Linked DNA regions of Tamandua tetradactyla. The protein of the gene in region 2 purifies or fractionates together with the protein of the main gene of each other region. This does not show direct contact. Links are inferred from orthologs where the notes say so. Each region holds a gene or a part of one and is shown on either strand. Other genes may lie near its edges.

What was found.
Region 1: the proteins of BAG2 (region 2) and TBL1XR1 purify together in Homo sapiens (affinity purification with mass spectrometry; 3 studies listed by BioGRID and IntAct, with this or other methods). This does not show direct contact. The link is inferred for Tamandua tetradactyla from reciprocal best matches to the Homo sapiens genes BAG2 and TBL1XR1.

The regions. Positions count from the first base shown.
Region 1 is NC_135331.1:75,025,072-75,032,629, forward strand, and holds the start of TBL1XR1 (F-box-like/WD repeat-containing protein TBL1XR1), read right to left. Parts: upstream 3,017-7,558; 5' UTR 2,978-3,016; intron 2,306-2,977; exon of another isoform or gene 2,182-2,305; intron 1-2,181. UniProt on the Homo sapiens protein: F-box-like protein involved in the recruitment of the ubiquitin/19S proteasome complex to nuclear receptor-regulated transcription units. Plays an essential role in transcription activation mediated by nuclear receptors.
Region 2 is NC_135331.1:116,192,888-116,200,290, forward strand, and holds the start of BAG2 (BAG family molecular chaperone regulator 2), read left to right. Parts: upstream 1-4,345; 5' UTR 4,346-4,432; coding exon 4,433-4,545; intron 4,546-7,403. UniProt on the Homo sapiens protein: Co-chaperone for HSP70 and HSC70 chaperone proteins. Acts as a nucleotide-exchange factor (NEF) promoting the release of ADP from the HSP70 and HSC70 proteins thereby triggering client/substrate protein release.

The DNA.
Region 1 (7,558 bases), about 41 Mb from region 2:
CTCTGAACTGGACCATACTAATCACCAATTCCTTACTATATGGCCCTGAGGTGCAAGCCCTTCTGCAGATGAGGATGTTTAGGTACAAAGTATACATGGCTCCTGTAACTGCTTTCCTTTTTTTGCATTCCTGTGACTTACATTGTATACATTATTTACAAGATGAGTCAAATTTGCATGTACTAAAATACAAAGTCCCAAACAGTGTCAAAGTTCCTGCCATCCCTTCCCCCTGGTTACCACTCACATCCTGCTATTATTTTCATAGATATAACAGTAAAAATGGACAAAACCAAAAAATTATCTCCACCAACTTGATCAAAATATGTTGAGTCAGAAATTCTCTGTAGTAATACTCTTGTAATTACAGAAGGGGATTCCTTTGTCAGCTACTCATCTGACTAGGCTGTACTTATATTTCATCACTATATATGAGCAGATATGTTGATTCAACAGGTTGTCATTCAATAGTCCATCAATCACATCTCTTTTTATCAGTAACTCCTATGTTTATCTTAAGCTACTGCCTTTTTTGCATATTAGCATGAAAGGCTCCCAGCACACAGGAAGCTGTCATTTCTTGTTCTCCTAGTAGGCATGTTTCATGGTAATCATGAAAAAAACCTTAATTAGATGGCGCAGATGCAAATATTAAAAAGATTCCTGGACATTACGTAAAAAGTTATTAAAAATGTTTAACACTTTTTGGAGCAACAAATGTATAAATACAACCTCTACAAGGAGCTAGTTATTTTACCACTAGTGTCTTCCATGAATAACCACAGTTATTTTATGTTACAATTTATAAACTATTGGTGAGTTTTGCAACAAATTTTAAGCCATTAAGGAATCACTTAAGTTCCTTAAGAGTAAGTAAAACTTTTTCCCTGGCACGTGTTTTCAGCCCCCATTCAAGTTTAGTAATTTGCACTGTAAATCTGATTCTATCTACTCCTATGTCTAAAAATAAACGATAGATTTAATGGTGCTGTTACATACACCACGCAATGTAGGATAGTAGAAGTGGGGGGAAAAAATCATATTCCAAACAAGCAGGAAAAGCTGTACTTAAGAGCAAAATGTACAAACATGCATCCCATGCCTAACCACTCTCAGGCATGTTTTCTTTCTGCCACCCCTCCCCCACCGGTAAATGCTAACTTTTCTAGAACTCTCAGTGATCATTTGGGAGAATTGCCATAAAATCCCATGATACAACCCAACATAAATGCCGTTTTCCTTAAGACAAAGCTGCCCTATTTCCCTAGACTATATACTTTTTAACATGGCGAGAACATGCAGCACCAAAAATCAGAATTACTAAAATACACCAATGTAGCATGAGTCTTACTTAACCAAAATGAAAATGAATGCCACTGGGAAACCCAAAAACTCACTCTCTGTATCGTCGATGTGTAACCAAGATATTATAAGTTGTTTTAGGTAAGTAGATAAAAGCACCACCAGGGCCTTCTATTACCCAATCTAGTGCAGGAGTCTTTAGTAAAAAAGGGGGAGGAAGACTACTTAATTATATACCTGGGGGGAGGGGGGAGATAAACCATTCAGACTAAAAATAACTCACCATTTCACCCACCATATTTTATTAGCAAGCTTGTTTAGACCAGCACAAGATTCTTGTTTGGAAAGCAGGAAAGCCAACAGAAAACTTCCCTAAGTCAACTGTAAATCACATAGGTTCTAACACCTCACTTTTGATGCTGCACAGTCCTAGGTTTTAAAAGCCACCTCAAGACACTCGGAAGATCTAATTTTCAACTAGGCTGCAACACTTCTCCTTTGAAATCGCCAAATTATTTTTAAGTGAATGTGAGCAGATATCCTAACAAAGGGAGCATTTTCTAAAAAGCCATTACCACCCCTATTTTACATGTAGCACACCATTTTCACAACAAATTTAATCTCGGTCGCCACCGCAAAGTGATGCCTGTTTCAGCAAATTAGGAACTTCCAAAAATACTGAACATGTTAATACATGCATGGCCTCCCTCGAGCTGCCATTTAAGATCAATACTTCACTTGCACAAAAGTCTGCTTCTGTTCAGGAAAAAAAAAAAAACGGTATCTTTTGCAAAAGGGGAAGTTACCGCGAAACCACCCTCCCAACGTGGCCTTTCCACCGTCAGAAAATGATGGGACTCTGTGCCACCCAAAACTTACCAGGAAGCTGGCAATAACTTTGCCAATTCTACACTTCTGAACCCAACTTCAAAGAGGGTCTAGCACATACCTCCTTCAGACGATACAAAGCACTAAGTTCCCGAGAAGCCCGTCCCCCAGCGCGGCCAGGCGGCCGGCGCGCCCCTCCCCCGGCCGGTGCCCCCGCCCCGGACGCGCCCCCCCCCCCGGCCGCCCGCAGCCCCCCAACACGAGGGCCGGGGCCGCGCCCGAGAAGGGGGCCGGCTCCCATCACTGCTGGAGGTTTAACCCAATAACATGCACGGAAAAGAGCTTTCTCCTCCGCTAAAAATAGGCTTATAAAGGAGTCGGCCTCATGATGGCTCCTTGATTCAATTTGCAGCAAATTCTTTCCCTGAAAGCCTCTCCCCCCCACCATCACACACACATAGAAAAAAGGGGGTGTAAATGCACGGAGGGGGGAAGGCGGGGGGTGAGGCCAAGGCGCACATTTTCGGGGACAACAACCAAAGGGTGAGGATCCCCCCGAGAACAGGGGAGGGTAGGGGCTGGGCAGGCACGTGAGCACCGCAAAGAAGCCAGCCAGAGGAGAAAAGGCGGGGGTGGGGGCGCCCTAAACGCCCTCCCTCTCCTCCCCTCCCCCACCCGCACGCCGGCTCCCCGAAGGGCCAAGTTAAAGAACCCAGCGTCCACTCGCGCCCATCCCCCCCGCAGCCGCACGGCCTGGCGCGACTCCCCCACCCCCCGCCGCCTCCGCCCGCGCCCCCCCCCCGGCCCGGCCCGCCCCCACCCCAGGGTCGGGGCCCCCACATCTTACCTGGACCAGGGCGGCCGCCGACGGCGCTCCCCCCTCCCGGGAATGGAGGCGCAAGGAAACTCCCCTCCCAGCCGCCGCCGCCGCCGCCGCCTCCAACCACCCCCAAAATAACCCCTCCGGGGGGTGAGAGGCAATTATAACCCCGGCGAGCGCGGGGCGCGGGGGCTGGGCGCGGGCGGGCGGGCGGGGGCGGGGAGGCGGCGCGGGTCCCCAGGTGGCGAGCGGAGGTGCTCCCGCCGCGGGGGGGGGGCGGGGGCGCGCACGGCCGGCGGCGGGGGGGGGGGGGCGGCGCGCGGGGGCAGGGCGCGAGCGGGCCGAGGAATTGAGGCAGAAGGGAAAAGCTGTTACTAAGGGAAAGAGCCAAACGGTTCGGAGCAGCCAACGGCTCCGCCACTCCACACCGGGGAGAGGGAGCGGGGACCAGCCAGGCGCAAATGAGCTCGCGAGGCCCGCGGCGGCGGCGGCGGCGGCGGCGGCGGCCGCGCAGCAAAACAAACCCGGGCGGCCTGCGCGGGGCGGGCGGGGGCGGGGAGGGGGAGGGGCGCCGGCGGCAGCGCGGCGGGGGGGCGGGGGGGGGCGCCGGCGGCCGAGCTCCTCTTCCCCTCCCCGCCCGCTGCGGCGGGGCTGGGGGCTGGGCGGCTGCGGCGCCGTCTCGGAGGAATGCAGCCCCGCGGCGCCGCGGGGGCACCGGGCGCCCCGCCCCCACCGTCCCCCACCGCCCGGGCGTTGGGCGGCTTTGGGTGTTGGTCGCGCGGCCCGAGGCCCCGGTGGGGGCGGGGCGCCCCTGGGTGCCGGTGCGCACTCGTGGGCACGTGCGGGGCGCGCGGCGCACGCATCCGGGGGACGTTGGTTGGGGGAAGGCTCTGGGCACACCTTTGTGTGCGTCCGTCCGCAGGGTTCTCGGAAGCGTACCTGCAAAGGTGTTATACCTGTGATGAGCGATATTTTTAACAAACGTAATCCAGAGCGTGGGATCTGTAGAGAAAACACACACATACACACACACACACATACACACACACACATATACACACACACACACAAGGTTTTTTTTGATACCAAACACAAAGCTGTCGTTGAAGTGTTTATGCCCAGATGTACTGGAGAATCAAACATACCGTGGGATTTACCGTGGGGTGGGTCTGATTGAAAGGGTTGGCCGGTCAGTTCTCATTTTTCAAAGATAAAATAATGTAACTGAGTGTTGGCTAAATATGTTCCTGTGCGGCATCCTCGACGGCACATGTTTATGCGCTGTGTGCACTTTGTGCGGGGTGTAGCACATCAGGGCAGCTTATTAAGTCTAACTTAGGTGAGTGATAATGTGACAGTGTGATTGCAGAAGGGAGGCGCCTCACAGTTTTTAAAACAAATGTGGCATTAATCTTTCTAATGCTCTCAGAAAGCAGGAATGGGGTTTTGACCTTTGTATAAGCCTGGAACATTAAAAGCAGCTTCCCTTTGATTTTAAAGTATGACTTGAAAGCAGTCTTTTTCTTGTTATTTTCAGTGATTACTGTCTTCAAAGCAAAATAATACTTTTGGCCGCCTTCTTAGGTGAGCGTTCTGTTTTTATACTTTCATCACAATATTTGCGAATAGGTGTAGTGGTTATTTTACGGCAATAGTCTTCTCCTGTCCTATGAGAGACCTAAGTTTTCACGTCAAAGAGGGAAAAATCATCACTTGAAGTGGTTTCTACAGGACTGAGTCCCGGGTGGCCTGATAAGCGGGATGTTTAGAGCAGGTGCTTTTTTTCTTTGGCCCAGTTTCCCCCGTGAGCCCCTGCCTAATGGGGAGCGGCCCAAGGCCTTTCCTGGCCGGCATAGGGCGGGGGTGGGCAGGAAAAACCGAAGAGAAAGGCAGCGGGTTTGGAAACTCCCTCCCAACCAGGAGAGAGTTCAAAGCCTATCAGTGGTGTGTCCTTAGAGCTATTTTCGTATATGAAAGAGGGAATGTTAGATTAAACAATGTCACCCGATGGGAATTTAGATAACTGCAGGTTTCCAAAACACTGTGTGCAGGGTACAGGCAAACAGCACAAAAAAAGCAAGTTTCACATTTCAGGAGGACTCTAAAGGTGAGGCCCATCTATCACAGAACTCTTTTGGAAGCGATGAGAGTGAAGTATCTTTCTATTTAAATATATATATATATCTTTTTAAGAGTTGATTAATGACGTGTATGTCACTAGCATTTCTGTTCTGTAAGTAAAGTGACTCAATACGATTAGGGTTCATTATCTCAGCCACCCAATGAAACGAATCCATTGGCCTAGATTGTTTTTCAGGTTTGACGTTGTGCCACTCAGGGGTCTTCTCCAGAAAGCTGCTGCTAGAAACTGAAGCCACCCTTCCAGTGAATGAGGACTTCCCAACCTTAAAAGGATACTCTCCAAATTGGGGGCCCCAGCCTTATCCTCCCGCATAATGTCCCTATTCCTTACCCCACTCCCTTCCTTAAGGGACATATGGTCCAGGGCTTCAGGCGCCAAGGTTTTGCACCCTATGGCCGCCTCCTCCCCTAACAAGTTGTTTGGTATTAACTGAGCCTCATCTCAAGGATAAGAATAACCCATACATTTGCTTACTGCATCATAGTTTACAAGATATTTATGCGCATAAATTACTACATTTGCACACCACAATAAAAATCACCAAAGGTGGGAACTTATGCTGTTCACTGCAGAGAGAACTGGAAAGAGAACCTTTGAGCAAACGATGCACCTAAATGTAGAAAAACCTCGATTCCCCTACGAAAGGGGTTTTTAACCACGTTCTGGTCTATTGATTCCTATACTTTAAGACCCTATCTAGGATGACAAAATGCCTTAAACATGAAATAAATAAGCTGCCGTACGAGGTCATATGTGTAGTTTATCTCTGTCCATTCCAGTGCATCTGGTAGATCAAGCAAAAATTCGACACATGGGGTGAGGTAAGGACAAAGAGAAGCAAATATTGTTAATAATTTTCAGGGTTTTGTCCTAATCTAAAAACTGTCCTTATGCTTTGACTATAAATGTTAATATGTTTCTAGAAAAGAGAAATTACTCTGTTACTAAGAAATTCTAAAGCAAAGGGACACATTATTAAGAAAGTTCTCTTGAACCTTCTAGCTAATTACCCAACAGATACCTCATACTGGTAACTGTTACCAGAAGTTACGTATGTGTTGTAAAATGACTAAACACACCCTGACTTGTTTTACATCACTACTATTACACCCGGGGGGATGCGGTACCACAAGATAGCCTACACCTGGGCAACTTTCATGGCTCAGGAAATAGAATGTTTTAAAGTAGCTTCATCCCAGCCTACAGGAACTCATTACTATGTATATGTATTTCAAGGCCACCATGATCTTTTAAATTGTTTACATTAGCCAGTCCTATGTAATTAAAGTGTTCAAAACAAGCTTAATAGCATGAAAAGGATATCTGATACCCCAAATATTATCCTGATGCTATAACTGTGTTTATATTCTGCACTCACCCCAAACTCAGTGGCTTTGTGTCCGTAGCGTTCACCCCCAGGCATCCTGCAGATGCCCTGTGATATTTGTGTTTCATTTTTACTCAACGTGTGCAATTCTTTGTCCGTGGCTCTTCAGCTACCAGTTTCTGCCATCTGAACGGATGTGCATCTCAGCCACACATCTCGCCATCTCAGCACACAAGCTCCCTTCCTCCATCTGTGCTTAGCATGCTGCTTATGACCTTCCCTCATCAGTGTGACCTTTGTCATAGTTTTCCATGCCTCTGTGACCTGATTTCATTACAACAGTGAACTCTACTTATCTTAATCTAAATTACAAAAGAAACACGCAACCATCTTGGAAGTATTTATGCCACTTGGGTGATGGAAATGCAGGGCTTATCTTGGGTTTGTGATTCAGTGAGAATGGAAAACTGGGCGCATACACATTATATTGCTGCCCTAGTCTCTCACTCACTTTCTCAGGGCATTGCATTATGCCAATGGTTTTGCTTTTCATTCATTCAACAAATATTTATCTTTTATCAAACAAGATAGAAGTTTCTCTTTTATGTGACATACCCATGTAAACAGTCCAGTGCTGATAGACTGAGATTGGGCGGGCAAGGGTGGCTCAGTGGCAACAGTTCTTGCCTGCCATGCCTTAGACCTGGGTTCATTTCCCGGGTGCCTGGCCATGTTAAAAAAAAAAGAGTGGGATTACTTGCTCTCTCAAAATAGAGCTTCCACTCAATGATGTAAGAAGACTTCTCCAGCTCCTACCCGCACACTCAAATTCTAGCCGTGAGGCCCAGAAGCAGGGGAATGAGAGCTCGTCCCTTGCCTTGCAGGGCATGTCCTGGAAGTCGCACTTGTCACTTCCACTCGCACCCCATTGGCCAGACCTTAGTCACATGCTAAAACTGCTAGTAAATCAGAAATGACAACCAAGCTTAAGTAGAAGAAGGAGAAGAGGGACTTTGGGGGGTGCCTTATTTTATAGGGGTAATTTGGAGAAGGCTGTTCACTGAAGGTGACATGTGAACAGAAAAGTAAAGGAAGTGTGGGAGTACACCTTGCAGACATCGAGAAAAGGAACAATCCA
Region 2 (7,403 bases):
TCCTGAAAATATGAAAGTGGTTGATGAGACTTACATGTAAAGCACATGTTGATTAGTTTTATGTCCTAAGCTTAAAATTCTGTATGTTTTTTAATGCAGATGTGGAATTAGAAGAAGCTATTAGAAGAAGTCTTGAGGAAATGTAATTAAAGATATTACCACACAACATCAAGTGGCCTTGAAGATACTCTCAGGATAATGAATTCTTGAGTTTGTTTTCTAAAAGAGACAAGAAATCTACTAGCACAAGTGTATTTGAGAACATGCTTTTGCATTCACATGTTCAAAATCTGATATTTTCTTTCTGTTTGTGTGTAGTTGTACACAGATATACAGAAAGCACAGAATACTGTGCTAACAGATAAAAATCATGTAATCTAATATAAAAATTACAGTTTCCCAGTTAATTTTGAATGCCTATATTTAGATTAAAAGGATTCTTAAAAAAAAGAAAGGAAAGCTCTTGGTTATGGTCTGTATGTTTCCCAAATATCATTAGTCTTTAATTTTTTTTGTACTGTACAGATGATTCTAGTTTTATTTTTTTAGGAGTGAAAATGAATATAAATAAGTTGCTATAGCTCAGATTTCCTGTAAATTCTACTTCTCATGTGATATATCTTTCATATCTTTGTGGTTATTAGAAAAGAGTAATGAAAACTGATCATGGAAACAGATTAAAATTTTTACCAGCAGTGTTTTTTGTGAGTTTTACTGAAGTGTATATTTCTGCTTTAATTAGATATAACACATTGCTGGGATGAAAAAACGTAACTAATTTTTTTTTGCGATAATTAAAAGGCAGCCTTTTCCATTCCTTTTACCTGCTTAAACTTTTATATGACTTCTATGATCTGTTGTTTAAAAGGAATGCTAAAATATTTGCATAAAATTAAATTTATTTTTAATAATCTTAGTCCTTTTTCTTTTTACATAGCTGTGTAAACTTTTTATTCTTCAAAAATAATGAAGTCTACTCAGGAATATTCCTTACCCTTTAAATTTTTTATTACATATGGAAGTATTTTCATTTGAATTATTCATTGGATTAATCTCAGTTTCCTACATTTGATATTATATATTTAAGTTTTCAATGTTGAAGCCCCATTATAAATAGTAGAACACATTACATAAGTAGAAGACTATGAAGAGCTTGCCATACCTCTATTTGTGTATATGTTTCGTGTTTTTTGACCAGAAATGTCCTACCCCTAAAAGTTTTGAGTAGTAATTTCTCACCAAATTTTAAAATATTTCTATAAATCTAAAGCTTTCTTAAGATGAAAAAATGCCACAGCTAGCATTTTGTTCTTTCTCTGCGACACTGGATATTTTATTGTGAAATGGGATTACTGATGCTTTAATTGCTCTTGTCTTTTCAGTCCACACTGGAAACCAGTGTTTTTTAAGATGTCAATTTTGTTCTTCCCTGCTTGTATTTTTAAGACATATAGGATGAGAATTTACCAATCATCTTTCCAAAATGACCACATCATGCTTTTAATTTGTAAGTTAAAGTTGTCAACCAAGTCTTTAGAGGTAGTCAATGGGTTGTATCATCAAGATATCTTCAGGAGCTTGCTAAATAGTGAGGAACAGAAGGGACATTACAGGAAGAAGAGTGGTTAAAGCAGATGTGGAGCAATAGGAGGCAGCACCTCTTTTCCAGTGGTTCCACACATGGGTGTGATGTACACTGATTATTCAGAAGCTTTGTGGTGTGTATGGCAGAGAATAACAAGCTTTTGATATGACAAGAAGGGGATATTCATCATGATCCTAAAGAAAATGTAATTGTGGTGTTTCAAGTTTTAATCAATAATTGTCACCAATTGTATTTCTACTTGTTAAGCAATTAAAAATCATTTAAAAATTACATCATAATTTGCAATTAACTTAGACCCAAGAAGAAGGTATAATCAATGGATTACCTTACAGAAAGTTTTATGGGTTATTATCAAAAATGCTTTTTTTTCATTTCATCATTCATGAAGTATTTATTTATTTATTTATTTATTATTTATGTGTCAGGAACTATTCTAAGCACTTGGGATATACCAGTGAGCAAAACAGAGCCCCCTCTGTGGAGTGCACATTGGGGAGAGGAGGTTTGATAGAGTCATAGATAATAAGCAATTAAAAAAGTATATCTGATGGTGATACATGTAATGAAGGAAAATAAAGAAGGGAAAGAAAGGATGGTGGGTAGTATAGGGGTTGGTGTGTAGGAGGCTTGCTATTTTTAATAGGATGATCAGAAATGAGCTCACAGATAGGGAAATGTGAGCAAAGTCCTGAACAAAGTGAGGACCGAATCATGCAAATATACATAAGGAAGAGTGTTCCAGGTAGAAGGAACTAAGTGAAAAGGCCTAGACATGACTTTGGCATATTCATAGGATAGCAAGAAAGCTAGTGTGGCTGAAGCAGGGTAAGCTAGGAGAGTAATAAGAGATGAGGTCAGAGAAATAAAGGGAGCTGCACATTTAGGGTCGAGGTCTTTCTAAGGACTTGTACTCTGAGATGAGCAATAGAAGGTTTTTGAGAATAAGTGTGATCAGCCTTATTTAAAAGTATTACTGTAGTTACTGTATTAAGGATAGACAGGTGAGGCAAGAGTAGAAGCAGGTAGATCACATAGGAGGGTTTTGCAGTAACCCAAGTGAGAATTGATGATGCTTGGACTACATTAGTGGCAGTGAAGTTGGGGAGAAGAATCTGGGTGTATTCCGAAGATACAGCTGATGGACTTTACTAATGGATTGGATCTAGGATATGAAAAAAAAGAGTCCAGAACGATTATAAGTTACTTGATAGACTTTCAAACCTTAAAAAAATGTCTTTGGATTCCAAATTACTGAGATCAAATCATACACTACACCAGAAGTTTATTAATATATAGAATAAATTAGAATTAGAATCCAGACCTAAGGGTCTCAGCTCTGTTCATGTGTTTAAATGGCTTTGACCTCTAAAGTCTGTAATTCAGCTTTAAACTCATTTTCTGTGCCTCCTACATGTTTATTCCTTGCTTATGAAACTGAGATGGGAACAAAACATTTTTTTCCCTTTAAGTAGACATGTCTTTGCATTCCTAACCCTATCCATCTTTTCCTGATCTTTATGGTGTCTGACCTAGTAGCCTACCAATCTTGTCATTATTGTTAAGTTAAAATATTTGGATGTGAAATGGCTTTTTTAGTTAATACCGATTATTTCACTCAGATTCCCAAAGGAATAATTTTTTTGAATAAAGAGAAAAAAAAGTCATTAAATACCCCTTCATTGAATGGGTAGAAATGAAGTATAAATTCACTTTGCTTCTGTCAACCAAGAAATAAATTAAGTTGCGAGACAACAGAAGCGTTTATTTGGGGTATTAGAATTGCAATTCAGGGAGCATATATTTAGGTAGCAACCCAAATCGTGTCCCTCTTGGCATTTCCAGACAAGGGTTTTTAAAGGAAAAGATTAGATAAGTTGTTTGTAGTTGGACATTTGGGATACTCCACATGTCCTTCAGGTTAATAGTTTACTGAGTTCTTTATCTTTCGGTTTATGTGTCTGGATGTCCTTAGGATTTTGAAGAACATAGTTGCTTGAAGTTTAGCATACTTTGGCAGTTCGTGATCTCTGGCAGAGCCCTGTAAAAGAGTAACGCTCCGTAATGAGCTCCTGACTCCATTTTAAATTTCTTAGCCATGGTAACTGTACTTTGTTATTTCTTTTAACACGTCCCACATCCCGCTAGACAGAAAAAAAGCGTGGTAGCCTTTTCTTTTTTTCTCTATAGCTTCACTGTTGGTATTTAGGCTTATTCTAATCGGAGGTGTGACAGGACAGAGTTGTATCTCAGTGCCTTCTGCTCATGTCCGAGGACTTTTGTTCTTGCCGGGAGAAACTAAATGAAGCCATCATTGAGCACTACATTCACAGCCTGCTTCCAGGAACGCTGCGGGGGCGGAAGAGGGGTACTTTCAGGCTGCAAGGAGAATCGGGGCTTACTACTGGGGCCGAGGGGTGGTGTTTTGTGGTCTCCACACTGGTTTCGGGTTGTTTCAGGGTTCCGGGAGAAGAACCAGCAGATCACATTAGGTCCTTCCCGCTTTCTCTGTCCGTCACTTCAGGTGTTTCTGAAGCTGCTTGGTTTTGCTCCTCAGGCCCCAGTGGCTAGCAAGTCCTCCCCGCCCCCAGCCGCCGCAGCCCCCACCCAGGCCCCGGGCCCGTCCGACCCTAGCCCCGAGGGGCGCCTGCTCTCGGCCACGCGGCGGTGGCAGCGGCAGTGTCGGCACAGCCTCCCGGGCCGCCCCCCGCGGGCGTCAGAGGGAGGCGGGCGCCCCGCGCGGTGACGGCAACGCTTGCGGCCGCGGGAACACTCGACTCGCCGCTGCCAGGGCCGGTGACCTCTTGGCTGCCCCTTTCGGAGTCTCAGATGGCTCAGGCGAAGATCAACGCGAAAGCCAACGAGGGGCGCTTCTGCCGCTCCTCCTCCATGGCCGACCGCTCTAGCCGCCTGCTGGAGAGCCTGGACCAGCTGGAGCTCAGGTGAGGGCGGCGCGTGGGGCCGCGCGGGCGGGGGGCGCCCTGGGGGCCGCGCAGGCGGTTCGCGGGCGGAGGCCGAGCGGCGGGTCCGAGCCTGCGCGCAGCTTCGGGGCAGGCCAGCTGAGGCGCTGCGAGAGAAGTGCTTGCTTGAGACTTGTTTCTGTGAATTTTCTTCTCCTTCTCTGAGAGAAAACTGAATCGATTTAAGATAAACCTCTGTGGTCACATTGTCATTCACAGACCTGTTCGTTTGGGAGTGGAGAAAAATCAGAAAAGATAAAACTTACAGTGACACTGTTGGAGATTACAGACTGAAACCTCGGGTCCGCAGAATTTCTAGAACCTTCTCTGTGCCTATATATGGTCTTCACAGATGCTTGTTACTTTACTCCTTTCCCATTGTGCATTTTAAGGGAGGCAGCAGTTTCCAGTCTCTCCCCCCCCCCACCCCCAAAGTGAAGTGATTAATTTCCTTGCTCTAAAACGCTTCAGAGCAAAGGAAGGAGTGGTGGTGAGCTCCAGGAATCCATCCTATAGCAAAGATTAGAGAAGAGAGTAGAACAGATGCAAGACTGAGAGGTGAACAGTAGCTGGGAGCATTTTGTGGAATCGAGGCACTACAGCTTCCTTTTCTCTGTGACCGCGCGTACTGTACTCAGCCATTCTTTTACCTAGTTACGTAGAAGACACTGTTGACACCGTCTTGAAAGGTGATAGTCACTGTGGCCTGAAAGCTTGTAAACATAGTCGGTTTTTCTGTTTTACTTGTTACAAGATTTCTTTAAATCACATAGTGGTAGGTGTGTATAGAATTTCTAAATCATTTAGAATAAATTTTGGAAATGCTCTTTTCTTTCCTGTAAACGTTTATGTCTCTAAATTTCGATCACATGCAGATGTGCTTGGATGAAAATCTTAGGAAGGCACGTAAGGAACCCAAATTGTGCGCAAATTTTGTTCAATAGTTATCACGTATAAATAAATATGTGAGCCATAAAGTTTAAGAAGCACTGCATGTGTGTTTTTATCTCCCTTGATTAATATGTCAAAGCAAGAGGTATCCATTTGCCAAGAAACGTACATTAATAACCACAGTATTCTCTTAGCAACTGAGGAACTGAGGCATTTATTATTATTACTACCCAGAAAAGAGTCGAAGCGGGAGACATTCACCATGCACGATTTCGTGGATGGCAAACACAGAAACCATTTCTGGGATTCTGCTCAGAATGAGACAAATGGAACAACAGAGAAGTAATGATTCCATGTGTATTTCCACAAAACTAGTAAACCTGACCTGTTCAACCCCTCAGAGAAAGTGGAGCAAAACTAGAGTTCAGTGCCTCTGCTTCTTTTGTCCCTCTGATTTTTTTTTTTAATGTAGCAGTGTAAAAAGTAACTCACATTTTTGCAGCCTTTAAAATTAAGTAGGCATGATTTCAGGTGTTTTCAGGAATCTCTCTCCCTAATTCAGAATGAAAGAATTTTTCTTAAAGGAATGAGAGGGGTGTTGCATATTCTTTCAAGCTGAGTCACTGCCCTCGAACTTAAAGTAAGGCTTCATATATGGGTAGGTACAAAAGCACTCACGTGCTCCTCTTTAAAGAAGGCTTCTGGTTTTGAATATTATTATAGTCAAATATTTGAGTAATGTAAATGTATTCTAATTATTGCACATAAGCGATTAAATTACTTTGCTTAATTAACCTTGAATTATGAGGAAACATTACTGATTAATATCCATCTGTTTATTTCAAGGACATTTCTAGTAATTTCGAACTTTTAAAGCTTTGTTTCTTACTTTTAAAAAAATACCGACTGTACAGCACAAACTGAACCCTAATGTAAACCATAGACTATAATTAATAGTACAATTATAAAAAAATGTTATTGTCATCATTTGTAACAATGCTAATGGTCCATGCAAGCATGCTAATGCAAGCTGTTAATTATAGGGTGGATATAGGAACTCTGCATTTTATACATGATTTTTCAACAACTTCTCTAATTAGAAAAAAAAAGAAAAAATATTGACTGAAAACTTAAGAAGTATTTTAGAAGGTTAGCTAAACAGAGAAAAATGCTAATACTGATCCTATTAACATTAATTGAAACCATGGGCAACATCCCAGCCAGAGCTTACACTATTAAAAAAAAACTAGAATCATGCCTCAAGGATCAGTTTTTAAAAGAAACTAACATGAAATTCATGTTGTTGGTAACAGTTTAATTTCATATTAAAAATAACTAACAAAACAGTGTATTAGGTAGAGTGAAAATTATGGTTCATACTTAGATGCATGCATTTACTTACTGTTCCCCTACTATGCTGGTTTTGTTGATAATGGAAGAAACTTCTTCCATATGAAACTAAAAAAAGGATTAATACTAAATGCGTTACCTGGTATGAAATGGTGTATATGATGTTTAAAGAGCTTTAAAATGTTTTTGGCAGCATTCTACAAATTGTTGAAGATTTCCATTTGTTTCTAATACTTTATCGTGACACTAATTTTTCTTTTTTTATTCCATCTCCTTTATTCTTTTCCTCCTAAAGAGGTCATTCCTTCTTTGTTTTTCATAACCAATTCTAAGCATTCTGAATTTTGCATTTGGTAGTAGCTTAACATACCTTACTTATTGTTGCTTTTTAAAGTTATTGCAATTGTAATTACTTATTAAGAAACAAACACAGGCTAACTTTATTCATCTCATGAGCACTGAGTTTCATGCCAGGCTCTGTACCTTTGTGGAACTTATTCTGCAGATGGAAATTTAAAGCTTAAAAAGTTAAACGACTTGCCTAAGGTCACACCACTAGAGATTAATGGACTTCAAAATTGCCTGAATTTTCTTAAAGT